4 linked regions of the Drosophila melanogaster genome follow. The protein of the gene in region 1 interacts with the protein of each later gene in a pairwise test. Each region holds a gene or a part of one and is shown in the gene's direction. Other genes may lie near its edges.

Region 1 (7,772 bases):
ACAGAAAACGATATTCAAGGATGTAACGCTGCAGTAGATAATATTGTATGTACTATATATTTAGATATGCTTCTCCAAGCTACTTATAATTGAAAACAAAAATAAACTATAGTTTGATATTTCGACATCCCAGGTTTTTTGACCTGGTCCACTATGCTTTGCCACCACTGTACCATGCAATTGTAGGAGGCTGATACCGCGTTCGTTTTTTAAAATGGCGGCGCGACAGCCGCAATTGGCGATAATTTGTTTGGAGAAAGGAAAAAAAATGTGAGCTCTTGGGCGAGGGGTGCAATAAAGCCCTTTTGCAGGGCAATAAAACTGATGTTTCTAACGCCTGCTGCTTCATATTTTGCGCACATTTTGAACATTTGAATTATTCCTTTGTACGCGCACAAATTTATGTATGTATGCTATACTATCCTACCGCAACAAAAAGGATGCGCAGACAGTGCCCATCGAAACCAGCAGTATTTTAGCTTTTTGTAAATCAATATAAACATAAGCACACCCACCTTGTAGCGTTCTAGTTCTAGCAGCACAGCTAATACTTATACAGAAATTACTTTGCGACAAATTAACTGATTTCAATTCAACCGACGCCGATACAAACAAATTATAACCAACGCGCTAGTGGGACCTTAGCTACCACGCGGAGAAATACCACGTGCTGCCGATCATCGTTTTGCTTTCGATAAGTCACGATGGTTCACGTCTTGGAATTTCTACATCTATATGTAAAAAAAAAAAAAAAAAAATTATCAGAATAGTGAAACAGTACAACCAACTTTAAAGTTGTAATAATTAAAATTGTTTGTAAATGTGGTTTAATATCATGTATACCATTTATTTTATAAATATCCACCAGCTGGTTGGACATCTGGCAACTCCTGTCATTACATGCTTTCAGTGTCGAGCGTTTTCCAGCACTTGCATGTTTACCTTAAGAAGAAGAGTAGAAAAAATCGTTGTGTAGTGGCAAAATAAATAAATACAGATGTGAGTAGCAGTAAATAAAACATACAAAGTGCAAAAAAGGCATAAAAAGTGCATGACCCTCGCATAGTTTAGTTTCCAGCTGGGAAACCTTTTATTTGTCTACGATCGTACATTTATCTGCATGTGAAAACCTCAATGAAACAAAGGGAGAAATTAACGGTGTATTTTCCCAGCCGATTTACGTGGTTATATACATAAATATATGAAGTATCTGTGAGATCTTGAAATCCCTGGTGATAAAGTGTAAATGTTTGTCCTGCATTGCGGTAATCTCTTACAACAAAGTGGTTTGTTTTAAGTGGCCTTCTTTCGAGTTCAGTTTCAATGGCCTTTATCAGCTGTTTGGCACATGGCGTTGGAAGTGCGGGTGTGTGTATGTATGTAAATAGTATGTACAGTACGTACGTGTGTGCAAGGGTGACAGCTGTCGCCCCAGGGAGAGCAATGTAAGTGAGTAATATTTGTTTATGTGAAAGCAAAGTTCAACGGTACCTGCAAACACACAAACACACATCCCCAACATCCGTGCTGATTACGCTGCTGTTTTCACCTACACCGACGTACCACTGTGACAGTGTGTAAGGTTTTGCCTCTTCAGCATGATTCGGCACTATTTCGTCCAGTTTTTGCCTTTATCATTCATTTACCAACAACCAACTCAGCGTCACTTTATGCGGAAATTTAAAGCCGCACTTTGATGAACTAATGTTATTAAAGGGCGTGGATTTTCCAAAGTACGTTTGATTCGCCATAATACTTATATGGGATTTTTGGCGGGGGAAGTCCCTTTTGCCCTTATCTGATTAAACAAAAATATTTGTGTAGTACATATGTAGTGGTTTTAATTTGGTGATTCAGATAAGAAAAACATACGATAAATTTTAAACGTTTTGTAAACATTTCTCTAGAATAAATAATAAAATTAAAGGATAATCTTTGAAAGGGTTTTGTGTCTTAATATTATTAAATGAAAAAAAAAAATATTTCATTATTGTAGTTACTTCATTTAATGCGAAAAATTTTTTTAAGTGTGTATCAGTGATATTAATATTTCTATCGTCATGTGTATAAGGCGTTCATAAATTGAAATTGTTTTGGGAACATGACTTGATACTTCAAAATTTATTGCCTTTTCAATTGAGCTTGGTAACAATGATTAATCGGATATACCGTACAATATTGTGTATATGGCCATTTATGTTGTGAAATTCCCTTAAGACAGAACTCCGATCATGACTAAAATACTATGCAATAAAAAATAGAGAGACGTAATCTCTTTTAAACATATTCCACGATATGCGCATACGAAATTAGCTTAGCTTTTTGTTTTGATTGTATTCAATAGTTCATTTGGCACGGACTTTGAACACATTTTAGCTATCTTTTGAACAAAACGAAATTCCTAACTGCTTGCATGACACGCGTAATTTTTTTGCAAACGCTGTGTAGCCTGAGGCTCCATACAAAAACCTGTTGCTGGTAAACATGGTAAACAATTATGTTTGCCATCGGTTACGATTTGTGAGCATCATCGTTACGGTCCAAAAAACCGCCCACGGGCCGTGCGTTTCATTCATGGCATTATATAGTTTTTATCGCCACAACACGGAGTGTATTCACCTGGAAGGGCCACATAGAACTCAGGCACATGTGTGCACACACACACATATGTAAGCATGATAACGCTCTTTGAAACGCTCCCCCCACTCCGCCACCATCCCCGCGAGAGATAAGTCTCGGTGGGCTCTGTGGCTGGGCAGACGCAGACCACGGCAGTCAGTTGACGGGCTCTCTCCACGGCACACGCATGATCGCCGGAGCGGATTTGCGGAGAAGCAGCTGATCGCGCGCTTTCATTTTCACACGGACTTTCAGTCTTTGTTTGCGAAACTATTGATTATTGAAACTATCTCTACCGAACTAACGAAGCTGTGAAGGATCCCTATCGATCCGAGATTAGTGCCAAAATGCAAACCCAAATGCACTCGCCCATGCAATATGAGACCCACATCTCCGACATGCCCAACCACAAGGGATACCCCTGCCGCCCAGAAGGTTGGTTTTTTTTAAAGTTCTGGATTTGACCTTGGGTCTACAGTTCAATTCGCAACAAGTTTGCCAGATATTTTCGCTACGCGTGCTTTTGGTAAAAAAAAAAGAAACCACTGATCATGACGGTGCGCATTGCGAATCAAGTTCTCTGAAACAGCCCACAATGATTGGCGAAAACGATTCCAGATTGTGCTACAGTGAAGTCACTTGTAGTTGAATGTGAGATGATAAAAATTAATGGAGTGAAACGGCACTTATCCAGGTTGCATTGCTCGATTTGGACGTTTGAATAATTAGAGACATTTGAAATATTATCGCGAAAGAAACTGGTTTGTGTTGACAATGCAAATTCCGGTTGGCAATGTAGTATCCATTCGAAAGAGTGTTCTTGAAATAAACAGATAATTTACCTTAATCTTATCTTAGTTTTCTAATCGAGAGCTTATAAATCTTTAAGCCCAATTTACCAAATTACCAACTCATAAACTTACCAACTTATTCGCATTCAAAAACAAAATAAATGACCGCTTTAATTTCTAGAACGTATTAAAGGTCGGTCGTATCTAACCTTTCGGTTATCTTGGATATCCATAATATAGTACGTCATTTCACACTTGGAGGATTTCTTTAAAGTGCCATTTTTAATTTTTTTGCAAATTCATAACAGATTAGATAATAAAATAGAATAAATAGCCCGCGCTGATTGTCGATCTATTTGCGATGGATGAGGTACGAGGTACAAGGGTTACAGGGCTCAACTGTAGGGCGTGTATTGGTTTTAAGATTAATAATAATTAATAATAATTAATTACTATTTAATATAATTATTAATTATTATTAAATTAATTGTTAAATAATTAAAATTAATTGAATATTTTCTGAAATATGTCCTGGAATTACAATATGATCTATTCCTCGATTTTCCAGAGGCTGAGATGAGCAACACTTCGGAAAGTTGTTCCATCTCATGCGGTGGTCGATTCGGATCGGCGCACTCGACCCTAGATGATCACGATGCTACGGATGATGACATGACCTTCTGCATGTCCAATTACGCCAAGGAGGCCCTGAAGATGATGTACATGATGCGTTCGCACGGCATGCTCACGGACGTGGTACTCGAGGTGAAGAAGGAGCTCTTTCCCGCCCACAAAGTGGTGCTGTCGGCGGCATCGCCCTACTTCAAGGCCATGTTCACGGGGGGACTCAAGGAGTCGGAGATGTCGCGCGTCCAGCTCCAAGGGGTAAGTTGAGCTCAAGCGCGGCCCTTAATTGGTTGGTTTAATGGATGAACAGTTCGTCCGTTTCGGTGTTACAGGTGTGTCCCACGGCCATGTCACGCATCCTCTACTTCATGTACACCGGCCAAATACGTGTGACCGAGGTAACGGTGTGCCAACTCCTGCCCGCGGCCACCATGTTCCAAGTGCCAAACGTAATCGATGCCTGCTGTGCCTTTCTGGAGCGCCAATTGGATCCCACGAATGCCATTGGCATCGCCCACTTTGCTGAGCAACACGGCTGTGTTGAGCTGCAAAAGAAGGCCAATGTGTTTATTGAGCGAAATTTCACTCAGGTAACCTATTTACGATATGAAAAGAGTACACAAAACTATAGCTACTGAGTTCCCCTAAGGTGTGCCAAGAGGAGGAATTCCTGCAGCTTTCGGCATATCAGTTGATTGCCCTGATACGAAGGGATGAACTGAATGTGCAGGAGGAGCGAGAGGTTTACAACGCTGTGCTAAAGTGGGTGAAATACGACGAGGACAATCGACACTGTAAAATGGAGCACATTTTGGGCGCTGTCCGTTGTCAGTTCCTTACGCCCAACTTCCTCAAGGAGCAGATGAAAAACTGCGATGTTCTGCGAAAGGTGCCCGCCTGTCGGGAGTATTTGGCCAAGATCTTTAAGGACTTAACGCTGCACAAGTGTCCAGGAGTCAAGGAACGAACCCCCAACACCACAAGGATGATATTTGTCGCCGGTGGCTTTTTTCGTCACTCACTGGACATTCTGGAGGCCTACAATGTAGACGACATGACGTGGACGACACTGGCAAATCTACGCATTCCAAGATCTGGTTTGGGTGCCGCCTTTCTCAAGGGCAAGTTCTATGCGGTTGGAGGCAGAAATAACAACATTGGATCTTCCTACGACTCGGATTGGGTGGATCGCTATAGTGCAGTCACCGAAACATGGCGTCCGTGCGCTCCCATGTCCGTGCCACGCCATCGAGTGGGCGTGGCCGTGATGGACGAGCTGATGTACGCCGTAGGCGGGTCCGCCGGCATGGAGTACCACAACACGGTGGAATAGTAAGTAGTGTTCATCATTTCAATAGATAATAGTTTAATTAATTTGACAAAGCCTTTCTGGTTGTTTATTCTATCGACATAGTTTAGCAAACCCTATTTATTTAAATCTCTTGCAGCTATGACCCCGATTTGGATCGCTGGACTCTTGTACAGCCGATGCATGCCAAGCGCTTGGGAGTGGGTGTTGTGGTGGTCAACCGTCTGCTTTATGCCATCGGAGGTTTCGATGGAAACGAGCGCTTGGCCAGCGTGGAGTGCTACCATCCGGAGAACAATGAGTGGAGTTTTTTGCCACCACTACAAACGGGTCGCAGTGGAGCGGGTAAGAATGACTGGCGCATCCTGTTATCTAATTTCCAACTAAGTTCCGATTTAATTGCTATCAGGTGTTGCTGCAATTAACCAGTACATCTACGTTGTTGGTGGCTTCGATGGCACCCGTCAACTAGCCACCGTGGAGCGTTATGATACCGAAAACGATACCTGGGACATGGTTGCGCCAATTCAAATCGCACGCAGTGCTCTCTCGCTGACTCCGCTGGACGAAAAACTGTACGCCATTGGTGGATTCGATGGCAACAACTTTCTGTCCATAGTCGAGGTCTACGATCCACGAACAAATACGTGGACAACAGGAACACCACTAAAATCGGGAAGATCGGGTCATGCGTCGGCGGTTATTTATCAGCCGGCGTGTTCCACCACGTTTATGGACTACGAAGATAGTGACGCCCCACACCCGGATGGAAGTAACAACGGGGAAAGGAATGCTCATACACCACAAAACACGTACGGCAGTGGGAGTCCACATTATCCTGGGACGGCGTCCAATATGCAGTTTCATACTTCATACGGAATGAGCGGCTGCAACAATTGTGACTCGGAAATGGATATAAAACCATATATTCCTGCAGAACACCATAGTTTTCAAATTCCCGCCATTAGATCCGAGGAGCTAGTCAATCCAAACTGTCCTTGGTCCAGAATGCAGGAAAGATTTCGAAGAACTCCACCAGCGTCTTTCACAGATGATGAGAGAAATGCTAATGATATGCGGCATAAATTAAAAAAAGCACAAAAAGAATGTTTATTTAGCACAGCAGCGAAAGTTTTTCACCATCACATCGAAGGTCGCCTGCGAAAACTCACGAGCGCAGCCACATGACAATACGAATCCGAGCCTCACGCTTAGCCTCAACCAAAAACATCATTCATTGTACAAAGCCTGATCGTATCCCCTAGAATTCCATGTTGAGAAGCAGCATTCCATTGTAATATTACTTACTAGTGTGTTCGCTAGGTGATAATTAGTCAAACCGTTTTTATGGCATCCATAACATAACTGGCGCTCGTCAGCCCATTTTAAAAAGATTGATTAGGGTTAATAGTTGATTAGTGGGAGGAAAGTTCGTATTTTACGTATTTTGTAGGTATCCAAACTGATAGATTGCGTATTGTACTTTTTTTAACGTAGGATAAGAAGAGGAATTATGCGCATCCAAAATAGGTTTTAAGAAAAGAAAGCAAATAATTTAAGAAAAATAAAACAAACATATTTTACAAAGTTATTTAATCTTTTTGCTATTAATCTTGTGCAAACCTTTGGCCGTGGCAACAAAAAGGCCATATTCAAATATCTTCCTAATAAAACTCACCGTGACAGTGCTATTTATTCCATTAGAAAGATAAACTGTTGTTTTCGTATTTGTTTGTAAACGACTATTTGTGTATTTTGCTTTTAAACAAGTTGTCTTAACAAGTTGCACATTAAAGACTTCTCTGCTTTCGGGGTCTTGGAGGATTGAAGGAAACATGTGTGTTGTCGGTAATGGAAACGATGTTCAGCCCACCCATTTGCAGTCCTTTGATGGCCGACTGAATCAAAACATTTAATTATTTTTAAGTGACATGAGAGACAAAAAGTATTGAACATACCATTCTTCCAGGGCCAAGACCACGAACCTTTACTCGCACTGTCTTCCAGCCCAATTCAATGGCTTTCTGAAATACAATTTAAGTTTTTTGTTTTAAATGATTCTATGCCCATATTATACTATTCAAATGCATATATGGTATACAACTATAATGGAGATTATCTCGATGTTCTATGTAGTTTTTGACCATCCTACTTTGGTAAAACCTGTTTCTTGTGGAAATGACTTACTCCACTAATGGTAACCGCTGTAGCTTGAGCTGCTATGTTGGTTCCCTTGCGAGTGTTTTTGAATCCCTCAATTCCACAGGATCGTATCAGCCGGAGGACTCCTGGAAAGAGGGATACTTTAGATCACAGTTAGAGTAACGTTCCAGATGACCCACCTTTGTGATCCGTGACGGAAATAATTGTGTTGTTGGGTGAAACGCGAATGTTGCAGATGGGCAGCTCGTTGAAGGGTATTCCAT
Region 2 (8,685 bases), 6.4 Mb from region 1:
TTTTCCACTGCAACCGCTGGCGGCATCTGTTTTACTCCTGGGTCAGCCCACTGAGCTAGGCGGCCTCAATAACAAGGGAGAACGACTCAAGATAAAGGGTAAACCAAAAATTCCAGTACCATATGTGGACCTAGAACCACAGGGGTCTCTGCAAAATACAGCTATCTTTAATCAACCAGGCGGAAAGGGAAAGGGGGACCAGAAACCCAAAGCCTCATCTGTGTCCATCTCAACCACGCCCATTCCGCTGGTGAAACGTCCTACAGTAAAGGAACCTTCCCAGGAGGAAATCGCCAGTATGCGTCCTGCCGTTAATCAGGGCTTCAAGCCCGACACCGTGATTGTTGAGAGCGGATTTAAACCCATCGTTAGGACCGATGGCACTGGTGTTCAATTGCCCAAGGAGATCATCGATCAGGTGGCCCATCGACGAGAGGATCCTGGGACAGAAATCGATGAGGTGATGGAAACAGATACCCTGTTCCTGGCAGCCCAGCAGGGAGGCAGTGAAACGCAGAGCTTTGAGCCCATGTTTATACCATCGCCCTTGGACAGTACTAATGCCACAAAAGTGTTGAGGGTTAACGTGAAGGAGGTTAGTCCCACGGCATCAGCTTTAAGATTGCCGTCGGCAGCCCTGGAGCACGCCCTGCCCTCCGCTTCGGAGTTAATAAAGCCCACCCTGGACGAACTCTTTGCAGAGGATCTAAACGAAGAGGAGCTAGAAATGGAGCCTATGCCGGTGGCAGATGATGTGGAGTCACTGGAAGAGACAACCAAAAAAGATGCTGTAACCACAACAATAAACATTCCAAGAAACACGACCAAGAAACCGGATCCCGATCTGCTGGAGGATCTCTTTGGGCCCGATGAAGAAGAGTTATATGCGGATGAGCTGGAACTAGACATGGATGACCGAGTGGCCGCTGCTGCGGAACGGATAGACACCTACTACCTGCCGCCGGATAACCGAAAGATTCCCGATACCAGGGTGCCGAGTGGAGCCCTCTACACCTTTGATGGCAAGTCTGTGGTGGACAGTAGCCTAGTGCTGCCGCCCAAATTGGATGCCCCGGACAATGCCAACGTCCACCAGCGACATGCCCAGTACGGATTGACCCCCTTGGAGCAGCTGGTCCGTACCACACCTCAGTTTGGAGTCTACAGAGGAGAGCTGCCACAGGAATTCCGAGGCACAGAGCCCCAACCCGTCTCCGAGTATTCCCATCCAGCGCCCTTCAGTCGTACCACTCCTGTGTTCTCCAGCAGCAGTGGCAGCACCATCTATCCGTATTCCTCGTCGACAGGAGCATCTACATCCACCGTATCATCATCGGCCTCATCGCCATTGTCCTCATCATCGCTGAGACCCATTTCCACTAAGCTACAGCTTCTGAAGCCGGAGGGCCGAAGAGCGTAGGATCTGCAATAGCGAAATTATAAGCAAGAACTAGCATTTAACCGTTTTGGGGTGTACGACTCTCATAACCACGTTACATTTACTCGTAAACCTGTATTAGCCCGTAGTTTTTTTTTAACACTTATGATGCTCTTAATTTTAAACGAACGCATGAATTTTATTAGCTAAGCTAACCGATTCTGATTAAGCCGCATTTTAGTCGTTGTGAAATAAAACCAAGAAGTAATCTGATTTGTGTTTGATTTCCGGTTCAACCGGAAATAAAGATATGTTTGATTTAAATACAAGTAAGGTCAGAGGAAATTGGTTATTCTTTTTAAGTAACTGTCATTTTAAACGTAGTACTCTTAGTACTTAGTTTTTACTTTCTTAACACTGACAATCATAAGTCGTTCGATATAATACCACACAACGCACTTGTATCGATAGCTATCACAATGTCAAAAATTCAAGCTTATCGATAAATAAAATATTAAGTTCTGAAACATAGATTTAAAAAGTAGAGTTTGGAAAGAAAAGCTGGCAAATAGCTGACCAATATTTCGCTACAGCGTTTCATACCAAATGGGAACACACCCTTGTTAATAGTATCGAATAACTATCGACTGCTGTTCCACCTCCAGCAAAAACGTGTGTTTTTGTTGCGCTGCTATTTGTTTAATTTAATTTTTAAGTTGAAACAATTATGTCGGCGCAATATCAAAGATTCCTGAAAGTACTAGAAAAGTGGCCAGCGGAGAAATCAAAAGTCGGCAGGTAAGAATAAGCATCAAAACACCCTGGTATCAAGAATGTTCGTTCTGGCGGCGCAACAACTTTGGATTATCTAACAAATAATTATTGAACGGATTTAATATTATTTGTATTAAATAGTTAGTTTTGCACACATTGATTTGTGAATTGCTTATTAGATCACTTTGGCAAGTGGAATATATTATGGGAATTTACTTAAGAACTATTTCACCTGCCGGCCCGCCAAGATTTTTAGGTTCCACGCCAACTGACCGTGTGGATTGTGGGTTTCATTTAGCCGATTCTGAGCGGCTGTGGATCGCCAATCTTAGTTACTTGTTTTACTTGGCTTAAAAGGCTTACATTGCCTTACCAGTTTTCAGAACATACAGACATCAAATTATCTTAAATTGTGTAGTGGCAAAAAAATGGCCTCTAAATTCGCATATCAGTTGGAGCCGGAGAAATTTATTTTGAGCCATGGACTTAAGTAAGTTTGGAAATATCTTCTTAAGCTTCGTTATAAAAACTTTGACTATTATAAATTTCACTGTACAAAGGTTAAATAAAGCGTGCTGATAATAATATTTGGATAATAATTGAGGAAGAAGAAAACATGTTCTATTAATTTCTTTAACGTCTGTTACTTTTATGGCCACATTTGTTAGCCTTTTGTCGGTTTCCAATTACACAAAGTGGTTTTCCACCTCAAACGCCCACTTCCGCGGAAAGTGATTAAATCTTCTTCTCAGCTGCCCCGCATGGAACGAACATCCGCCACAGAAAATACACACATGTACACTCATTTAGTGGGAACTAAACTTTTTCGCCTTTTCTCAAACAAAAGGGATCTCGGCGAGCAGATTCGCAAACAGGTGACCAAGCTTACAAGTCTAGAGGGCGGAGCGACGGATAAGGAGCTGGACCGTCAGATCAATTCTCTGGAGAGGCTATCCAATAACGTCTACGCAAAGAAGTATCCGCGCACTTTCGAGTCCACGGCCACTGGACTAACCGCCGCCCAGTGCAGCCAAGTGTTGAGCTCCGAGTTCCTGCAATATTTGAACGAGGACTCAAAAAAAAAGAAGTAGCACGATGAAGCGACTCCTAAACCCTACTAGACTGAGACTGGATTGGTTGAGACGAAGCTCTATAGATGTGACGACTGCTCCCCATGTTCCTGTGCTCTGCGACACCGCCATTGAATACCTGCAGCCCGTTCCAGGAGGCACCTACTTCGACATGACTTTCGGAGCTGGTGGCCACACGCGGCGTCTTCTGGAGAAGTGTCCCGAGGCAAAGGTATACGCCCTAGATCGAGATCCATTGGCCCACCAACTGGCCCGCGATATGAGCGAATCCGAAGAGTTCAAGGGTAGGCTGATTCCCCTGCTTGGAAAATTCTCCGATTTACCAAAGCTTTTCAAAGAACATGGCCTGGCCAAGAACTCGGTGGACGGGATGCTTTTTGATTTTGGTTGCAGTTCCATGCAATTCGATGAGGCGGTCAGAGGCTTCTCCATCTCGAGGGACGGTCCACTGGACATGCGAATGGATGGTGGCCACAGCGGAGGGGTTACAGCTGCCGATGTGTTGGCTAATGTTGAAGAGGGCGACCTTGTGAAGATTTTAAGGATGTATGGTGAAGAGAAAGCAGCCAAGAAGATAGCCAGAGGACTGGTAGACGCGCGCAACGCCCTCTTTAAAATCGAGACCACCAAGCAGCTGGCAGATATAATTGAAAACATCATGGATGGCGGGACCAGGAAGGATAAGCTTCGACGACCGGCACACTCAGCCACCAAGACCTTCCAAGCCATCCGCATATTTGTGAACAACGAACTAAACGAGATCAACTACGGTATGGTTTTGGCCAACGAAATCCTCCGTGTGGATGGACGCTTGGTGACCATTACCTTCCACTCGCTGGAGGACACTATCGTGAAGCGTCACATCAACGGAAACGTCCTGGCAGGCGCCGCCAATGCTCTTCCCCTCAAGTACTCCAGCCATTATGCAATAGACGAGCCAGATATACTAGAATCACTGACCAAGAAGAGCTGGAAACAACTACATCGCCATGTCATTGTGCCAGACGCCGACGAGGTGGCGAGGAACACACGCAGTCGATCCGCCAAGCTGAGAGCAGCCGTCAAAACAAACTAAACGCATGTCAATAAATTCCCTCGGTCTAGTTCAAAATTCTCTTTCTCAGTCTTTAATTCTCCCAAACTCTCGTCATGGTATGCATGTTTGGACTGTTTTGGTTATCTGCCAAACCAATTGGCACCTGCTGATAACGACTGGTTTATCTATTTACCACAGTTATTTGCGGTTCTCGTGCAGAGTTTTTGTTTAGTTGGATTAGGAAATTGTTGTTAATTGCCCAGGTAGAATAGTAGTTTAGTACAGTGGTACCGATTCTCCTTTTCTTTTGATTGAATATTTTTCAGAACATAATATAAATAGGGATAGAAAATCATTGGTTAGTGATGCTTTCCACAGTGCACGTATTTGATGAACTCGTTGAACTTTCGAGTACCTCTTCAAGTGGTTGATAACGGAGGCGGGCGAATTTGATATGGAAATTGCGTATGCCAGCAATTTCTCGGTTAAAGCCATCGTATAAGCTTACCATTCGCACTTCTGCGGTTGTTTTGCTCCCAGAGATTGGAGCATGTTGTGGTACTTAGGTGCCTTGGCATACGTCAGCCGGTGTTGTTCCCGGCTACCAATCGCAAGATGTGACCCGCGAGAAACCCGAAACCGATAATCTCGAAGGCGTCTGATAAGGGAGCGGGATTACAAAAAATAGAGAGAGGCACCGGGCGGAGCACCTATGTGGGCTATAGATAGGGGTGTCCGTTGAGTGCTCAGCTCAGTTGCATAGCGCGAGCCGAGTTGGCGTGGCTAGTGAGGCGGTACTTTCGGTCATCTGGACTAAAAAACTTTACGGGCTTGCGTTTTTTCAGCGGAGAGTGGACAGCAGAGCCGGCTATCAAGATGAGTGGGGCCAAGATCATATCGGGCACGGCGGTGGCCAAGTAAGTGGGCAAAACTCTTGCATCGTAGGATTCCTATTTATCATATCCCCGCCTCCCGTTAGATCCATTCGCGAAGAGCTGCGTAACGAGGTGACGGCTATGAGCAAGCAATTGGCGGATTTTGTGCCCGGCTTAAGGATTGTCCAGGTTGGTGGACGTGAGGACTCCAACGTTTACATCCGCATGAAGATCAAGGCGGCTACGGAGATCGGTATCGATGCCGCCCACGTCCAGCTGCCCCGATCCATCACCGAGGTGGAATTGCTCGATAAGGTGAGTTTGCGACGGAAGCGGATTATGCAATATGGGCAATACAATGTTATATCAACTGAAAAACGAAATATTCTCTACTTGAATAAAGTTATAAATAATAACTAATCGACTTTACCATTTCAGATAAACGATCTGAACGAGGACCCCCGGGTGCACGGCATCATAGTGCAAATGCCCCTGGATTGTGACACACCCATCGATTCGCACCGAATTACGGACGCCGTTTCCCCGGAGAAGGATGTTGACGGCTTGCACACGGTTAACGAAGGTCGCCTGGCCATCGGTGACCTTGGTGGTTTCCTGCCCTGCACTCCTTGGGGTTGCCTGGAGTTAATTCGCCGTTCTGGAGTAGAGATCGCCGGAGCCAGGGCTGTGGTTCTGGGACGCAGCAAGATCGTGGGCACTCCCGCCGCCGAACTGCTCAAGTGGGCCAATGCCACGGTCACAGTGTGCCACTCAAAGACCCGCAACCTGGAGGAGATCACCCGAAGTGCAGACATTCTGGTGGTCGGAATTGGAGTGGCCGAGATGGTTAAGGGATCGTGGATAAAGCCCGGAGCAGTGGTCATCGATTGCGGCATCAATGTGAAGCCAGGTGAGTGATGGTAATCCCTTATCAGTTCAGTTGACTGGCAACCCCAGTGGAAATCCAATAGATAATTTAAAGACTTGCTTTAACAAATTCCCTAATCTGTGGAAACATACGTTTCCACTTGTTTACTGATTACGCCGTCAATCGCTTATCAACGCATTCGACCCCCTAGTGGAACTCCTAACCCCGACGATAAGAAATGATTTTGTTTTCAAACATCATGCTCTCGAGAATTAGTTAGGGAACAGCTCCCGATCGGGGCGAACCGATCCCAATCACGATTCCACCAAATTCCAATTTTTGATCCTTTCCAGACGCCAGCAAGGCCAGTGGCAGCAAGCTGGTCGGGGACGTGGACTACGCGGAAGCTCTCCAAGTGGCAGGACATTTGACGCCAGTGCCCGGCGGCGTGGGACCCATGACGGTGGCCATGCTTATGAAAAACACCGTGCGATCTGCGGCCCGATTCCTTGAGCGTCTTGCTAAGAGCCAGTGGGCCCTTCAAACGCTGCCCCTCAAGCCCCAGCGTCCCGTGCCCAGCGATATTGTGATTGCCCGTGCCCAAAAACCGAAGGACATTGCCGTGCTGGCCAAGGAGATTGGTCTGGAAGCTCGTGAGGTTTCCTTGTACGGAAATAAGAAGGCCAAGATTTCACTGTCAGTGTTGGAGCGTCTGAAGGACAAGGAGGTGGGTCACTATGTGGTTGTAGCCGGTATGACACCAACGCCTTTGGGTGAGGGTAAGACCACCACACTAATGGGCTTGGTCCAGGCTCTCGGCGCGCACAAGCTGAGAAACACCATGGCTGCTCTGCGACAGCCCTCCCAAGGTCCAACCTTTGGCATCAAAGGAGGAGCTGCTGGCGGCGGATACGCCCAGGTGATTCCCATGGAGGAGTTCAATCTCCATCTGACAGGAGACATTCATGCGGTATCGGCAGCCAATAACTTGCTGGCCGCCCAGCTGGACACCCGCATCTTCCACGAGAATACCCAAAAGGACAAGGCCTTGTATGACAGATTGGTGCCCGCGATCAAGGGTCAGCGGAAATTCAGCCCCATTCAGCTACGCCGGCTCCAGAAATTGGGAATCACCAAAACCGATCCCGATACCCTTACCGCTGACGAATACGGACCTTTTGCCCGGCTGGACATCGATCCGGACACGATTATGTGGGAGCGTGTGGTGGACATCAACGATCGGTACCTACGCACCATTACCGTTGGGCAATCGCCCACTGAAAAGGGTATTTCGAGGGAGACCCGGTTCTCCATCTCGGTGGCCAGCGAGATCATGGCTGTGCTAGCACTATCCCGAAGTCTGGAGGACATGAAGCAGCGGCTGGCTGACATGGTGGTGGCATTCGACAAACGAGGCAAGCCCGTAACCGCTGACGATTTGGGTGTCACCGGTGCCCTGGCAGTTCTTTTGAAGGACGCTCTCGAGCCGAACCTGATGCAGTCGCTCGAGGGAACTCCAGTGCTGGTGCACGCTGGTCCCTTTGCCAACATCGCCCACGGTTGCAACTCGATCATCGCTGATGAAGTCGGCCTAAAGCTGGTTGGTAAAAATGGATTTGTCTGCACGGAGGCCGGGTTCGGATCAGATATTGGCATGGAAAAGTTTTGCAACATTAAGTGTCGGACATCCGGTCGCAAGCCGAACGCCATGGTGCTGGTAGCCACTGTGAGGGCCATCAAGATGCACGGCGGCGGAGCTCCCGTCACTCCCGGAGCCCCCTTGAACAAGCAGTACACCGAGGAGAACTTGGAGCTCGTCCAGAAGGGTCTGCCCAATCTGCTGCAGCACATCGAGAACGGAAAGGCCTTCGGCATGCCAGTGGTGGTGAGCCTTAATGCTCATTCAGCAGACACCCCGGCGGAGCATGAGTTGGTCAAAAAGGCTGCTCTGGAGGCAGGTGCATTCGCCGCCGTAGTCTCCACTCACTGGGCGGACGGAGGAGCCGGAGCCGTTCAGCTGGCCGATGCCGTGATCAAGGCCTGCGAACAGGGCAATCAATTCCGATTGCTCTACGATCTGGAGCTGCCGCTGGTGGATAAGATGAACAAGATCGCTACGACGATGTACGGCGCTGGAAAGGTGGTGCTCTCGCCGGCGGCTGAGGAGAAGGTCAAACGCCTGACGGATGCGGTAAGTCGAGAACATTTTCTTCGAGAAACTGAAAGTATTTATAGAAATGCATTGTTCAATTCGCAGGGTTTTGGCAATCTACCTATCTGCATGTCCAAAGTCTCCGGCTCCTTCACCGGCGATGCCAAAATCAAAGGCGCCCCCAAGGGCTTCACCCTGGACGTTGAGGACGTATATGTTTCAGCCGGAGCCGGCTTTGTGGTCGCCATGTGCGGTGAGGTCACCAAAATGCCGGGTCTTCCCACCCGCCCGGCGATCTACGATATCGATCTGAATACGGAAACCGGAGAAATTGAGGGCCTATTTTAGACGGCAACCTGGACAAGGGAGAAGATTCCTAATAACTTTCAACGCCTTTTCACATCTAATTCCAGAGTAGTAACAAATTTATCGTTTTAACTTGTATATAAATGATATAGAGATAAGATTTAAAAGTCGGTAAACTAATATACATTTCTGACGATTTGAGTTT
Region 3 (8,264 bases), on another chromosome or scaffold:
ATTTGCTTTTGTTTCTGTTTCTACACTAGAAATTATTTGTACATTGTAAATTCAATTAGCTATTAACTGCAAGTCGGAGAGAACAGTATTGGGTCGATTCCTTGCTATTTTAAAATAAGTAAGGGCATTGCATCATTATAAAATAGGTAGGCTGACAAAACTAGTAACTATCCAAATGTAAACTTATACATTTAATTGAGCTAACGCTTGAGTTAAATAGCATTGCTTGAGAACAAGACACCCTCTTTTCCGCTCATTGTCACATGTATCATTTCATATGTAGACTCCGAGCTCTCCGAGTACTTTTCCAGTACCAGTAACAGGTAACTTGTTTAGATCTTCAGCATAAGCATCGCGGTCATCGAAGGTCCCACTGCCCAAAGATCGAAAAAATAAATATAGTATTTACAGAGACACTACTGGCGATTTATAAACACTCTTCGTAATTTCTTATCGTGGAAGTTAGTTATTTATTGTGCCAATAACAATAATATCGGGCATAGTTGTGGCCTTTGGAATAAGACCACGAATCTCGCATTTCGCAAAGGGGAGAGCCCAAAATATAATACAGTAAACATATTACAAAAGTACTAGCTATTGCTGACATGAATTTGTTAAGGGGAACTAAACTAGTTGTAAGTCTAGTGTGGAAAATCTTATTGCTATGGCGTACACTGTAGAGGCTAAATTGAATAATTCAGAATCTCGCGTTTTTATTGCTATTATCAAATACAATTGTTTGTACGTAAGAATTTAAAGAGGCTTCCACTGATAGAAGCCTTATCGGATTTACCGCGCCTCGGAATCGCAGGTCGGTTATTGTCTCTAGGAAGATGATAGCAAGGCGCCTATCCACGCCAGCAGCTCTTCAGCTGCACAGTCTCCAGCTCCTTGGGCAGCCGCGGACTGAAGCCATACGGATTGTGGCAAACGATTCGCTTATCTGGCGCAGTCTGCGCCACTTGCTCCACCGTGGGCACGCACAACTGGGCATAGCTGCTGATGAAGCTGGACCACAGAGTTGGTGTGCAGTCCAGGGCAAAGTATGGTCCCCACAGCTGGGAGTCCAATTCGGCAGCATACGGATATTTACCATCCTCAAGGAGCAGCTCCTCGGCTATGGCCACGGCATCGAAGTCGCGGTGTTTCACCGGTGTGTAAACATCCTGGATTATGTTATCACCGAAGTATAGTGCCTTGGCTTCAGAGGGCTTCTTCTGGAGCATTCCAGCCATGGCAGTGTGCAGCTGGTGCCAGTTGCCTTGCGAGTAGACCTCGCCCGCCTTTATGTTGTCTGCCTCTTGCGGCAGTTCTGCCAGTTTTTCCACATCCACCTGCATGAACGGACGCTGCATGGTAAAGAACCCTGGTTTCTTGGCGTATGTTACCACGAAATCGAAGTATTTGCGCCAATCCTTGCCCAGCGCCTGCGTGGCCGTCAAATTGGCGAAGTCCACGTTGGAGCCGGTGAGCAAAAATAGCTTCTTGCCGGATTTTCGCAGTTCCCCGAGCCAGTTCATCACACTGGGATCTGTTCGGAGCACAAATCGTTCCGGTTCCGCTCGCATGCTCTTGAAATAGAGACTCTGGTCGTTGGCGAAGTTCTCCCGACTGTAGATGTTCATCAGGCCAGCCTGAACATCTTGCCAGACCTGATACTCCTCTCCTGCCGATGGCTTCTTTCCCCTATCGACCAGATCCACCGCCTGGGCAAAGACCAAGGCACTGGGCATATCAAAGTAATCCAATAGCGAGCGCATTTGCGTCGAGGCGTCGCCATTCCAGGTGGACAGGGGGTCCCTGTAGAAGGCAGTGGTGATTTCCCACCTTCGATCTCTTCCATAGATGGCTTGAATTTCTGTGTCGCTTAGTAGACGGGTGCCATGGGTGGCTCGCAGGATCTGGGCCTCACTGCTCAGCTTCAGCACATTGCCACGCGGTCCGTCCAGGAACAGGCCCTTCTGCAGAAAGTCCAAGTTGAGCGATTGAAGGAGTAGATCCCTGTCATAGCCCTTCTGCTCTACGAGGAACTGCTTGAGCACCTGATAGATCAGAGCGGACATCTCGTGGAGATTGTAGCGCAGAAGGGTGCCGTCCAGGTCGAAGCCCACTATTCCATAATCCTTTAGGAGCAGCTCCTTGTGATAGGATGTCATGATGGTGCTGGCCGAATACCTTGAGTTTCCCCCTGCAGATTTGTGGAAGCGCCTAACTGTCTGCTGCTGACCCGTCACTTCTCGTGTTGCTCTTCCCACTGCTGCCGGCGGTGTTCTGACTAACGTCATTGAATTTTGCGCCAATTTATCGAGATTGCGTAACAGGAGACGAACATCTGTTTGGGCCTGTTTGTGTACGTTTGTTTTTGTTTTCGTTTTCGTTTTCGTGGCCAGTCGAAGTGAAAGGGCAGGGGCGGAAAAGGCGCCCACGGTGGCTGCTCTGCCCAGCGCCAGCATCTTATCTTATCAACTAGCACATCTCATTTGTCCGAAGCGTGATCTAAATTTAAAATTAAGCCGAAATTCACTATCACTTAGGTAGTCCTCACAAAATCATTTTTCATCTATAAATGTATGTCTACAACTGCCAGAGCTGCCAACCTTTTGAAGTTGAGCAGTACTGACTTACTTCCTTGGCTTATTCCTAGCTAGATTTAGCTAGGTATAAGCAAGTGTAAGCTATCGGAACTCGATAGCAGCTTAGGTATCGTTGGCGCAATCGACTCTTGTGCCATCCCTAGCAAGCGTACCGGAATGGAAAAAATATAGTTTTTTGCACATTCTCCGATTTCAGCACATTTTTATAAGTTTTCGGGCCAGTAACCCGTTTTTCACCGCTTAGTTTGTGGGCTCAAGGCCTCCGAAACCATGTCCAACTGCATAGAGATCCCTTTGCAGGACACCGATGAGGTGAGAATCGATCCGAAAGATTCTAGTTTTAAGTGATTAATACTTCTATTTCCCCAACTTAGGTGATCGAGGTGGACCCGGATCAACTGCCCGACTGTCCAGAGGTGTTGAGCATTCTCAAGCAGGAGCGGGCGCCCCTGCACGTTTGGGTCAATGTGGCGGTAAGTTGAAAGACTGGGTACAATGAATTTAGCATGTTCCACATGGCTACTTTTTTTCCAGCTTGCCTACTACAAACAAAAGAAGACGGAGGACTTTGTCACGCTGCTGGAGGAGTCGCGCAGCGATGACGCCACCAAGGAGTACCGCGACTCGGACAAGGACCTCATGCGTGCCCTGGACATGCTCGCTGCCCACTATGTCCAGGAGGCGTATCGGGAGAAGTCCAAGGACAAGAAACGAGAGCTCTTCATGAAGGCCACCAACTTGTACACCAGTGCCGACAAGATTATCATGTACGACCAGAGCCATCTGTTGGGCAGGGCCTACTTCTGTCTGCTGGAGGGCGACAAGATGGACCAGGCGGATGCCCAGTTCAACTTTGTGCTTAACCAGTCCCCCTCGAATATTCCCTCCCTACTGGGAAAGGCCTGCATCGCGTTCAATCGCAAAGATTACCGTGGAGCGATGGCCTTCTACAAGAAGGCCTTGCGTACAAATCCAAACTGTCCTGCGAATGTGAGAATCGGCATGGCCCATTGCTTCCTGAAGATGGGCAATCCCGAGAAGGCCAAGCTAGCCTTTGAACGAGCGCTCCAGCTGGATCAGCAGTGTGTGGGCGCTTTGATTGGCCTGGCCGTTCTCAAGCTGAATCAACTTGAGCCCGAATCCAACAAACTGGGTGTCCAGATGCTCTCCAAGGCGTACACCATCGACAATGCCAATCCCATGGTGCTCAATCACCTGGCCAATCACTTCTTCTTTAAGAAGGACTATCAGAAAGTCCACCACCTGGCGCTGCACGCCTTCCACAACACCGAGAACGAGGCGATGCGAGCCGAGAGCTGTTACCAGCTGGCCAGGAGTTTCCATGCCCAGAGCGACTACGATCAGGCCTTTCAGTACTATTACCAATCCACTCAGATTGCGCCAGCTAACTTCGTGCTGCCCCATTACGGACTAGGCCAGATGTATATTTATCGAGGAGATACAGAAAATGTGAGTTGGGACACCTGTAATTGAACCTCCTTATTACCACTTTGTGAATACTTTCAGGCCGCTCAGTGTTTCGAGAAAGTGCTGAAAATCCAGCCAGGCAACTACGAGACCATGAAGATTCTGGGATCCCTGTACGCACACTCCAATTCGCAAACCAAACGTGACATGGCCAAGACTCACCTCAAGAAGGTCACCGAACAATTTCCTGAAGACATTGAAGCCTGGATAGAACTGGCTCAAATCCTGGAGCAGAACGACCTGCAGGCCTCGCTCAGTGCTTACGGCACAGCCTCTAGTATTCTTCGGGACAAGGCCAAGTACGAGATACCCGCTGAGATTCAAAACAACGTGGCTTCACTGCACTACCGCCTGGGCAACTTGAAGATGGCAAAGCTCACTTTGGAGTCGGCCCTGAAGCATGCAACCTCTGAGATGGACAAGGATGTAAAATACTACGAGTCCATTCAGGTCACCATGAAGTACAATCTGGCCCGTCTGAACGAGGCAATGAGTAGCTACGATGTGGCCGACAAGCTGTACAAGGAGATCCTCAAGGAGCATCCCAACTATATTGACTGCTACTTACGGCTGGGTTGCATGGCAAGGGACAAGGGTCTCATTTTCGTGGCTTCCGATTTCTTCAAGGACGCGCTGAACATCAACAACGACAATCCAGATGCGAGATCACTGCTGGGAAATCTCCATTTGGCCAAGATGCAATTCGCTTTGGGACAGAAGAATTTCGAAACGATCCTCAAGAATCCGTCTACTTCCACCGACGCCTACTCACTGATTGCTCTGGGAAACTTTTCGTTGCAAACACTGCATCAGCCGAGTAGAGATAAGGAGAAGGAGAGGAAGCACCAGGAGAAGGCTTTGGCCATATTCAAACAAGTGGGACAGATTAAAATAGACCAATTATAGCTCAATTTGTAACGAAATGCATCCGCTTTCCAGGTTCTTCGCAATGATCCCCGAAATATTTGGGCCACCAATGGAATCGGTGCCGTGCTGGCACATAAGGGATGCGTGATCGAGGCGCGCGATATCTTCGCCCAGGTGCGCGAAGCCACCGCCGACTTTTGCGACGTGTGGCTGAACATTGCGCACGTTTATGTCGAACAGAAGCAGTACATCAGCGCTATTCAGATGTATGAGAACTGCATGAAGAAGTTCTACAAGCACAACAACGTCGAGGTAATGCAATATCTGGCAAGAGCGTATCTACGAGCCAACAAGCTGGTCGATGCCAAGGCAGTGCTACTTAAGGCCCGTCGAGTTGCTCCCCAGGACACAGTTCTACTCTTCAACATAGCAGTGGTCCTCTCACGTTTGGCCATGGCCATACTCAAGGATGAGAAATCTACTCTGGAAATTGTGCTGCAAGCTGTCCATGAACTGGAGCTGGCTCAAAAGTAAGTGGTATCCTTGCTCTCTTAAACTGCGCCTATCAAATATTTTCAAGTGGTTATTAGAGTACCAACCAAGTGATAACGTGAATTTGATTATATTTAGAAGTACAGCAGAAATGAGTAACCATTAATGGCATTTTAGCTTATCAGATCAGATTAGATATTAATGCAAAGCAATCATCATGAACTGCTAAACCGAAGATTGGATTAGATTAGCTGATGATTTCCTTGATCATGGTCAATAACTATTTCTATGAATATGTTTTGTTTCGTGCTTAAAATCTCACTCACAATATCCCACCCCAATCTCTTATAGATACTTCCAATATCTGTCCGTGCACGGGGATAAGAATCGCTTCAACATTGAGGTGGCTGGCATTGAGGCAAGCACCTGCCAAGATCTTCTCTCTCAGGCCCAGTACCATGTGGGCCGTGCACGTCGCATTGACGAGGAGGAGCGCTCGTTGCGCCGGAAGCAGGAAGAGGAGCGCGAGGCCTTCAAAATTAAGGTGGCGGAGCAGCGCAAGCGGCGCGAGGAGGAGGCAAAGACCTCCAGGGACCAGTTGTTAGCCAAGCGGCAGGAGTACGTGGAGAAGACCAAGAACATGCTCATCATTGCGGACGCTCCACCTGAAAAGGAACGCAAGAAGGGTGGTGGGCGAGGTCGTAAAGATGACTACATCTCCGGTACCGAAAGCGATAACGATGGAGCTCGTCGTGAGGGAGAACGTCCCTCGAAGAAGAAGGGCAAGGGGGAACGCAAAAAGGGTGGCGGTCGCAAGCGCAAAACGGAGAAGTACGAGAGCGACAGCGAGGAAGAGCCAGGTGCCAGTGGCAAGTCGGGAAAGAAGAAGGGCAAGAAGCCGAAGCCGGTTAAAGAGTCCAAGGAGAAGCTTTCTGCCAAGCAGCGCCTCAAGGTGCTTTCCAAGGAGACGATCTCCACCAGCGAATCCGAGTCTGACGGCAAGCGCAGCAAGAGCAGAAGTAGAAGCAGGAGTCGAAATCGCAGTGGTAGCCGAAGTGGCAGTGCCTCTAGAAGCGGCAGTGATCGCGAGGCTAGCCGCAAGCGCAGCAGGAGCAGAAGTGGATCTGGATCTGGGAGTGACAGTGATGAAGCAACTAAGCGGAAGCGCGCCAGGAATCGCATCGAATCTGGCGGGGAATCGGATAGATCTGGGTCCCGTGCTCGCTCCAAGTCGAGTTCCCGTTCAAGATCTCGATCCAAGTCCGGATCTCGATCGAGGTCTCGCTCCAAGTCGGGATCCCGTTCGAGATCGCGCTCAAAGTCCGGTTCCCGCTCGAGATCCCGCTCGCCGTCGGGTTCAAGATCCCGCTCTCGCTCTGGCAGCCGATCCAAGTCCGAATCCCGTAGCAGATCAGGGTCCCCGGAAAAATAACGCACCTCTCAACCGTGTTAAATCACTTTTGACTATATTTAGAGTTGTCTTCGAGAGCTGCAAAAAGATACTAATAAAAACGAACTAATTGCCACACAAAGGCAGTGGAGTAATTGCTATTGGTTTGCTGTTCAACCGTAATCCGGATTCCCAAGTCTATTGGCATGGATGGATTAGGTAATGGACAGGGCTGATTGTCTGGGCCAGGTCAACAATCGACTTCAAACACGTCTGTGCTGCTGGATCATGTCTCTTACGATTACAGCCATAGGCTGCGAGTGGCGCAGGACGAAAGCGTGGTCGATCTTCTTGGTGTCCAGCTGGGCGTCCACCTTGGGGTAGTCTTTTTTGAGCTGGTCATAGTAGGAGATTGGTACCCATCCGTCGGTAGTGCCGTAGTAAAACTTGAGGAGGTCCAGGTTCTGCTCTACAATCTCCCTTTGAATCCCGCGAACCCTGGCCATCTCATCGTCGGCCAGGAAGACCACCTTCTCCGCTACCGATGGTTTGGAGTACTTTAGGGCGGTGCCCAGAAACTGTCGTGGAATGGAGAAAATCAAGAAGTAGATCTGTATCAGCATCAGGCGCAACCACACGGGCAGAAAGTTGAAGAAGCTGAAGAAAATGTAGCCAAACACGGAGTACAGGGGCATGGCCACCTTGGTGAACACCCATCCATTGGGCGACTCCATCATCCGCTCGACGGTGGGGAACAGCATATAGCACTTTTGGATGCGACTCCGTATCCGCTCGTTTTCCAGCAGCTGCAGGATCATCCACGCTCCGATGGAGTGCCCAATCAAGTGGATCTTGACATCACTTGGCACGTATTTCTCGATGAAGGCGATTTTATGCCGGATTTGTCCGTCCAAATTGAAGAGCTCCTCGTTGCCGCTGAGTTGAGGAACCTCCCGAATACTGGCCTCTGGCGGATCATCATGGCCAGCGTGCCCTGGAGGGAACATCAAGTGTGCTATTACCGACTCAATGTGGAAACGCCAGCACACTCACCTATCACCCAAACTGGAAGATCGCCCAACTCCTTTTGCAAAGTGCCTGCGAACTCTGTGTAGAAACCTGGCAAACCGGGATTGCCAGTTATGCAGATGACGATCTCCTTCTCGGTTATGGTCTCCTCAATCCACCTGCCCCATGTGAATATGTGGGTGGGAATGGAGTTGATGTTGACGTAGGCCTCCTGCATATTTTCCGCTGCTGTTGGCGTGGCAAACTGCGCTGAAAATCAATCGGCACCTGTGTTGATCCCACTCTTTTCACACGCGATGAGTTGTCTAATCCCCGTGGCAACCGGTTTTCCTTTGTCCAACCACCTCGGCTGCAGCCTTTCACGAGTTTCAAATCTTGAGGATTGGCGCGGTTTATCCCCAGGG
Region 4 (6,304 bases), on another chromosome or scaffold:
CTATCGCATACTGTAGTAGTAGCCCAACGCTTTGGCACACTGCTCCTCGAATGCCTTGCGCTCCTCGTCCGTTTGGGTGACGACCAGGCGGGCCTTTAGATACTTCAGCCACACGTGAGCCGGCACAGTGGCCAAATTTTGCAGCTCCAGCACCGATGACTCGATCTTTTCCAGATCATTCAGTTTGCTGCATTAACGAGCATCAACATTAGCTAATGCCGATATTGAAAAAATGGAAAATGGGAGTGGGAGAAGCAGGCAAACTCACAATGCGATTCCAATGAGCGAGACCATTTGGGCAAACTTTTTGCTGGGCAACGCATTCAGCTCCTGATACGAGCGCTCTAGCTGATTTCCGCCGCCAGCGTTGTCGCTATCACTGTCACTGTCACTGGACACCTCACTGTTCGATTCCAATTCCGAGCCTTCGATCACGCCCACATCATCGCTACTGCTGCTGGAATCATTGCGCGCTCTGCCACGGCCAGCGGCATTGCCTCCCTCAGTCTCCTCCACTGACGGCTCGTCGTCCGATGAGATCAACTCAATGGTGGTCATATCCCCGCCGGCGGACGACGGTGGCCAGGTTGGGCGCGATCGTTGGCGCAGCTCCTCCGACTTGTGCTCCTCCTCCTGCTGCGGCGACTCACTGTGCCCCTGCTGCGGCGAGCCCTTGCCCTGATCGGGTATCACGATCAGATCATACTCGTCATACGCATCGTCGTCCAAATCCTCTGCCGGCATCTCGTCCAGCTCCTTCTCCAGCTGCCTTTCCAGCTGCAATATATTGGGCATACGCATAAGGGCGGCGCCTATTGGAGCTATAATCTGACACTCACCTGCTTGTCGGCGTCCATGCTTCAACCGTTTATTTTGGTGGAAAACTTTTCGCTTTCCGTGGAACTGCAATTTTTCCCCCCCAAAAAAAATACAGGAAATAAAAAAACAAAAAAAAAACCGCAAACGCAGGGCTGGCCAATCTAATATCGCGTTGTTGCGCTTATCGTGGAAAATTATTTGGTTTCAGGTTTGGTTTCCCTATTGGGCACTTTTTCTTGGAAAAACTTTCCAAGCACTTACTTTCTGAGAATTCGGTTAACGAAAACTTATCATTTTCTGTCAAGAAACACCGGTAAAGTGTGAATAATATGCGAATTTTTTTTTCGTTATAACAGTGTGACCAGTGCGTAATATCGATAGCTGTGCGCACTCGATAGTTGCGGCAGTCCAGACAATGGCTGTGTTACCAGCAGTGCAGTGAAGACTCGTGATGAGCAATTTGAAGACTAATTTCGGTAATATGTGGTCAATATTAACTGGTTTCTTTGGGCGGTCAGAAATGTATAGCAAAGTCAAATGATAAACTAAATCCTACCAAGAAATATAATTTATTTTAAACATATATATATTTTATAGAAATAAATAAAAATGGAATTTATTTTACTTAAGTGCTATATATATATGTATCATAAAATGTAAACAATTTCTGTTTCTTTTACACAAACTATTTAATAATAATAAACTATTTAATACGCAGCCACATCATAAATGGATTAAGTGTAGACAGTACTCAGGCAAATAATAAAAATATTATACCATTATATGAATGGATTAAGTGTGGACAGTAATTAAGCAAATAATAAATATATTACTATATACTATAATACTATAATAGGAATTGATTAGGTGTAAACAGTAATAAGTCATATAATACATATATTGTATATATTATAGGATATAGTAATAATAATATAATAATAATTAGGCAAATAATAAATACAAATATTATACTATTATAAGAATGGTTTAAGTGTAATAATATTATATATTATATAATAATTAAGCAAATAATAAATATATAATACTATTATAAGAATGGATTAAGTTTAAACAGTAATTAGGCACATAATACATATATTGTATATATTATAGGAATGTATTAAGTGTGGACAGTAATTTAGCAAATAATAAATATATTTTACTATTATAGCAATGGATTAAATGTAGATATTAATTAGGCAGATAATAAATATATACTACTATTATAGGAATTATTTGATAGTTTTCTATATTGTATGCATTACAAATTAAGTCAGATGTTCGGTGGAAACGTTTTAATTATAAATTTGCATATCAACGTATATTTGCTTATATTAGTTAGTTTGCTATGTCCACTATGTTTTATATAATAAAGTTAATAATTATATGTAAATATATAAAAAAAGGAAATAATTATAGCATATATATTTTGCCCGCGCAACCAGTCTTCAAATGCCCACAGTATGGTCACACTACGCTTTTCCCGCGAAAAAACTTTGCATTCGGCGTGCAATTTGCGACATTAGTTTTGTTTGCATTTGCGTTTGCCTCCGAACGGATCGAAGTTGATCCATAAGCGAAATCGAAAGAAGTTTTGTGAACTCCAGTGTACAGCTTAAGTCACAGAATGGCCCACGAGGGGGAGCAGTTCATCAAGGACATACAACGCGAGTATGTGGACTTTCTGGACGACGAGGAGGATCAGGGCATCTATGCGGGCCACGTCAAGGATATGATCGCGGAGAAGAGCAAGCGCCTGATCGTGAATGTCAACGATCTAAAACGCAAGAATCCGCAACGTGCATTGGGGCTACTGAGCAACGCGGCGGATGAGCAGCTGGCCTTTGGCAGGGCGCTCAAGGAGTATGCGTCCACGGTTGATCCGGGCTATGCCAAAATGCATGAGGATCTGTTTGTCGGCTTCGAGGGCTGCTTTGGCAATCGGCATGTGACGCCGCGCTCCCTCACCTCCATCTATCTGGGCAACATGGTGTGCGTGGAGGGCATTGTTACCAAGGTATCGCTGATTCGTCCCAAGGTGGTGCGCAGCGTTCACTATTGCCCCAATACGCGTAAGGTAATGGAGCGCAAATACACCGATCTCACATCGTTCGAGGCTGTGCCATCTGGCGCTGCCTATCCCACAAAGGACGAGGATGGCAATCTGCTGGAGACCGAATACGGTTTGTCCGTTTACAAGGATCACCAGACGCTGACCATTCAAGAGATGCCCGAGAAGGCGCCGGCTGGCCAATTGCCGCGTTCGGTGGATATTGTGTGCGACGACGATCTCGTGGATCGCTGCAAGCCCGGCGATCGTGTACAGATTGTGGGCAGCTATCGCTGTTTGCCGGGCAAACGCGGTGGCTACACCTCGGGCACGTTCCGCACCGTGCTGCTGGCCAACAATATATCGCTGCTCAGCAAGGAGAGCAATTTGGACATATCGCGCGAAGACATCATGCTGTGCAAGAAGCTAGCGAAGAATAACGACATCTTCGAGCTGCTCAGCAAGAGTTTGGCGCCCTCGATTCATGGACATGCCTATGTGAAGCAGGCCATTCTTTGCCTGCTGCTCGGCGGCGTTGAGAAGATCCTGCCGAATGGCACACGCCTGCGTGGCGATATTAATGTCTTGCTTATCGGCGATCCTTCGGTGGCCAAGTCGCAGCTACTGCGCTACGTCTTGAATACGGCACCAAGGGCCATACCGACAACGGGTCGCGGATCCAGCGGCGTCGGTCTGACGGCGGCGGTTACCACGGATCAGGAGACCGGTGAGCGGCGATTGGAGGCGGGCGCCATGGTCCTGGCCGATCGCGGTGTCGTCTGCATTGATGAGTTTGACAAGATGAGCGACATCGATCGCACAGCCATTCACGAGGTGATGGAACAGGGTCGTGTTACCATTTCCAAAGCGGGCATCCATGCCTCGCTCAATGCTCGCTGCTCCGTTTTGGCAGCCGCTAATCCGGTGTACGGAAGGGTAAGAGTCCATCCGAATCCGTCTGTTCATCGCTTTTCTTGCTAATTTCGTCTTCAATTCCAGTATGATCAATATAAGACGCCGATGGAAAATATTGGACTGCAGGATTCGCTGCTTTCGCGTTTCGATTTGCTCTTCGTTATGCTGGACGTGATTGACAGCGATGTGGATCAAATGATTTCGGACCATGTGGTGCGCATGCATCGCTATCGCAATCCCAAGGAGGCCGACGGCGAGCCCTTGTCCATGGGCAGCTCCTATGCGGACTCCTTGTCCTTTGTTTCCAGCAGCGAGGAGGTGGGTTTTCGTCGAAAGGCACGATTATGATTGTGTATAATCGATTGACATGGTCTTGAAATTGTATTTTACAGAAGAAGGACACCGAGGTGTACGAAAAGTACGATGCCCTGCTGCATGGCAAGTCGCGTCAGCGTCACGAGAAGATCCTATCCGTGGAGTTCATGCGCAAGTACATACACATTGCCAAGTGTATGAAGCCCAAATTGGGCGAGCAGGCCTGCGAGGCGATTGCCAATGAGTATTCGCGCCTGCGCTCCCAGGAGGCGGTCGAAACGGATGTGGCACGCACGCAGCCAATAACGGCCCGTACCCTGGAGACCCTCATCCGTTTGTCCACGGCCCATGCCCGGGCACGCATGTCCAAATCGGTGACCATCGACGATGCCCATGCGGCCATCGAACTGGTACAGTTTGCCTACTTTAAGAAGGTGCTGGATAAGGATCGCCCCAGCAAGCGTCGTCGCAACAGCGGCTCCGATGCGGAGGATGACAACGGTGAGGCATCTAGCCAGCGCTCACCATCGCGACGCTCCAAACGCACACGCACAGCGACCGTCGGTGCCGATAGCGATGAGGAGGATATTGAGCCACCACAGCCGGATGCTGGCGATTTGACGCGTCGCGAAACGCGTCGTTCTCTGCCCGCTCGCTCGGTCGCCATGCTGATGGCCAGCCCCTCCAGTGAGGAGCAGTCGGTGGCCACATCGACCACGGAGCCGGCCATCATTAGCGATGCCCGCCTGGGCGAGTTCAAGAACAATTTGCAGCGACTGTTTCGCGAGGCACGCGAACAGAGCTTGGCGCTGGCCAGGATCACCACGGCCATCAACGTTGGCAGCCAGGAGCCGTTCACCGCTGGCGAAATCGAGGCCGCCGTGCATCGCATGACCGAGGACAATCAGATCATGGTCGCCGACGATATAGTCTTTCTCATCTGATCGCGCATTCCAAGGAGCAACAATCGAACGAACGATTGCATCCATCAATCCATCCTTTATCCATCAACCATTCTAGCGCTTAAGTTGTCATTTTTGTTTTGTATTTATATAAAAAAAAAAATAAACACTTTGGAACTCCCATTGCAATCCACGGAATATGTACGTTGGCATAAGGAAAGGCTGCAGCTGTTGGCTAATGTATTATAGTTAACTTATATTTGACATAAACAATTTAAGCGATATACACACAAAGTTGCACAACGGTTTTAAAAGAAACAAACTGAAGGTATAACCAACTGGCTTCACAACTCCCATTCACAATCAGTAAAAAGCTGGAGAGGAAGGGACTGCAATGTTGTGGTTAGTGGTTTCAAGCTGCAGCCACATAGATATTATTGGCATGGTTTTCGACATTTTGAGACATGAGCATTGTTTTCGCATGGATGTGAAAATATGGAAGGGACACATCGATTACATTTAATACTTGACTTGTAGTTTGAACTAACAACATTCATCGCTTCGCTTGGATTCACTTTAGAATTAAACTAGACACAAATACGGCGACTAATCGCCGATTAAAATCTATTTACACTGATAAAGAGCACCGCCAGGCACAATCACACAATCACAGGATACTAGCAGACAGATGTGGAGCAGCCAAAGTGATAAGTGGCAGAAGAGAAGGAGGAGGACGAGGATTGAGCTACTACCATCAAAGATTCACCACATTCTTGAGATCCGGCGGCAGCAAGCCCTTCATGCACTCAATCTGGGCGCGTATCTGCTGCTGAGTTGAGCCATTGTTGCCCTCCAGCTGCGTGGCTTTGTCGCCATAGAGATTCAGTTTTTGCTTGAGCTTGAGTATCATATCGATGATCTCCACCTCCTGCTTGTCGTGCGCCCAGTGCTCGAGATTCGCCACGGATAGCGCCTGCAGCTGTAGATCCTGCAGCGTTAGCTGCAGCTCCCGATGACGTGCACCGTACCAGCCGCGAAAATTGGGCGATCGAAAGAAGCGTCTGTACAGGCCCTTCCAGTCGCCCTTCAGCGGCGACGTTAGCTGCGGCCCAGCGGTTTCCAGCGTGCCCAGAAAGTCATCCAGCTTAAAGCTGTTGGCATTCGGCGCCGACTTAAACGGACTGATGTCCTTTTGCAGCGGCATCAGTGATGCCATATACCGTTCCAGTGGTATCATAAAGCTTTGCGTCAGCTCGAGCAGATGGCGTCGTATCAGTGCGGTTTGCACATGCTCCGGCCGCTT

Evidence for each region.
Region 2: the proteins of Keap1 (region 1) and pug interact in a two-hybrid assay, tested with the Drosophila melanogaster proteins (one large-scale study listed by BioGRID).
Region 3: the proteins of Keap1 (region 1) and Ctr9 interact in a two-hybrid assay, tested with the Drosophila melanogaster proteins (one large-scale study listed by BioGRID).
Region 4: the proteins of Keap1 (region 1) and Mcm3 interact in a two-hybrid assay, tested with the Drosophila melanogaster proteins (one large-scale study listed by BioGRID).

What each region holds. Positions count from the first base shown.
Region 1 is NT_033777.3:17,073,100-17,080,871, reverse strand, and holds Keap1 (Keap1), read left to right. Parts: upstream 1-2,769; 5' UTR 2,770-2,966; coding exon 2,967-3,054; intron 3,055-3,978; coding exon 3,979-4,295; intron 4,296-4,369; coding exon 4,370-4,627; intron 4,628-4,686; coding exon 4,687-5,369; intron 5,370-5,485; coding exon 5,486-5,691; intron 5,692-5,755; coding exon 5,756-6,534; 3' UTR 6,535-6,930; downstream 6,931-7,772. Other genes in the region: mRpS11 (mitochondrial ribosomal protein S11), read right to left, coding at 7,137-7,244, 7,305-7,370, 7,534-7,634, 7,689-7,772.
Region 2 is NT_033777.3:10,694,627-10,703,311, forward strand, and holds the start of pug (pugilist), read left to right. Parts: upstream 1-1,907; 5' UTR 1,908-2,105; coding exon 2,106-2,176; intron 2,177-2,528; exon of another isoform or gene 2,529-2,580; coding exon of another isoform or gene 2,581-2,642; intron 2,643-2,999; coding exon of another isoform or gene 3,000-3,243; exon of another isoform or gene 3,244-3,247; coding exon of another isoform or gene 3,248-4,318; exon of another isoform or gene 4,319-4,350; intron 4,351-5,030; exon of another isoform or gene 5,031-5,124; coding exon 5,125-5,196; intron 5,197-5,258; coding exon 5,259-5,469; intron 5,470-5,592; coding exon 5,593-6,064; intron 6,065-6,375; coding exon 6,376-8,213; intron 8,214-8,279; coding exon 8,280-8,522; 3' UTR 8,523-8,685. Other genes in the region: Skel (skeletor), read left to right, coding at 1-1,420; CG46459 (uncharacterized protein), read left to right, coding at 2,106-2,176, 3,000-3,243; CG14683 (uncharacterized protein), read left to right, coding at 3,248-4,318.
Region 3 is NT_037436.4:1,304,836-1,313,099, forward strand, and holds Ctr9 (Ctr9), read left to right. Parts: upstream 1-2,453; 5' UTR 2,454-2,534; exon of another isoform or gene 2,535-2,583; intron 2,584-2,712; exon of another isoform or gene 2,713-2,790; 5' UTR 2,791-2,864; coding exon 2,865-2,906; intron 2,907-2,968; coding exon 2,969-3,067; intron 3,068-3,128; coding exon 3,129-4,064; intron 4,065-4,121; coding exon 4,122-4,958; intron 4,959-5,021; coding exon 5,022-5,479; intron 5,480-5,792; coding exon 5,793-6,873; 3' UTR 6,874-6,970; downstream 6,971-8,264. Other genes in the region: Nt5a (5' nucleotidase A), read right to left, coding at 849-2,453; sturkopf, read right to left, coding at 7,095-7,825, 7,885-8,077.
Region 4 is NC_004354.4:5,321,551-5,327,854, forward strand, and holds Mcm3 (minichromosome maintenance 3), read left to right. Parts: upstream 1-2,304; 5' UTR 2,305-2,446; coding exon 2,447-3,805; intron 3,806-3,868; coding exon 3,869-4,102; intron 4,103-4,176; coding exon 4,177-5,043; 3' UTR 5,044-5,188; downstream 5,189-6,304. Other genes in the region: Rnp4F (RNA-binding protein 4F), read right to left, coding at 12-187, 269-777, 840-857; CG3309 (uncharacterized protein), read right to left, coding at 5,756-6,304. UniProt on the Drosophila melanogaster protein: Acts as a component of the Mcm2-7 complex (Mcm complex) (Mcm complex) which is the putative replicative helicase essential for 'once per cell cycle' DNA replication initiation and elongation in eukaryotic cells.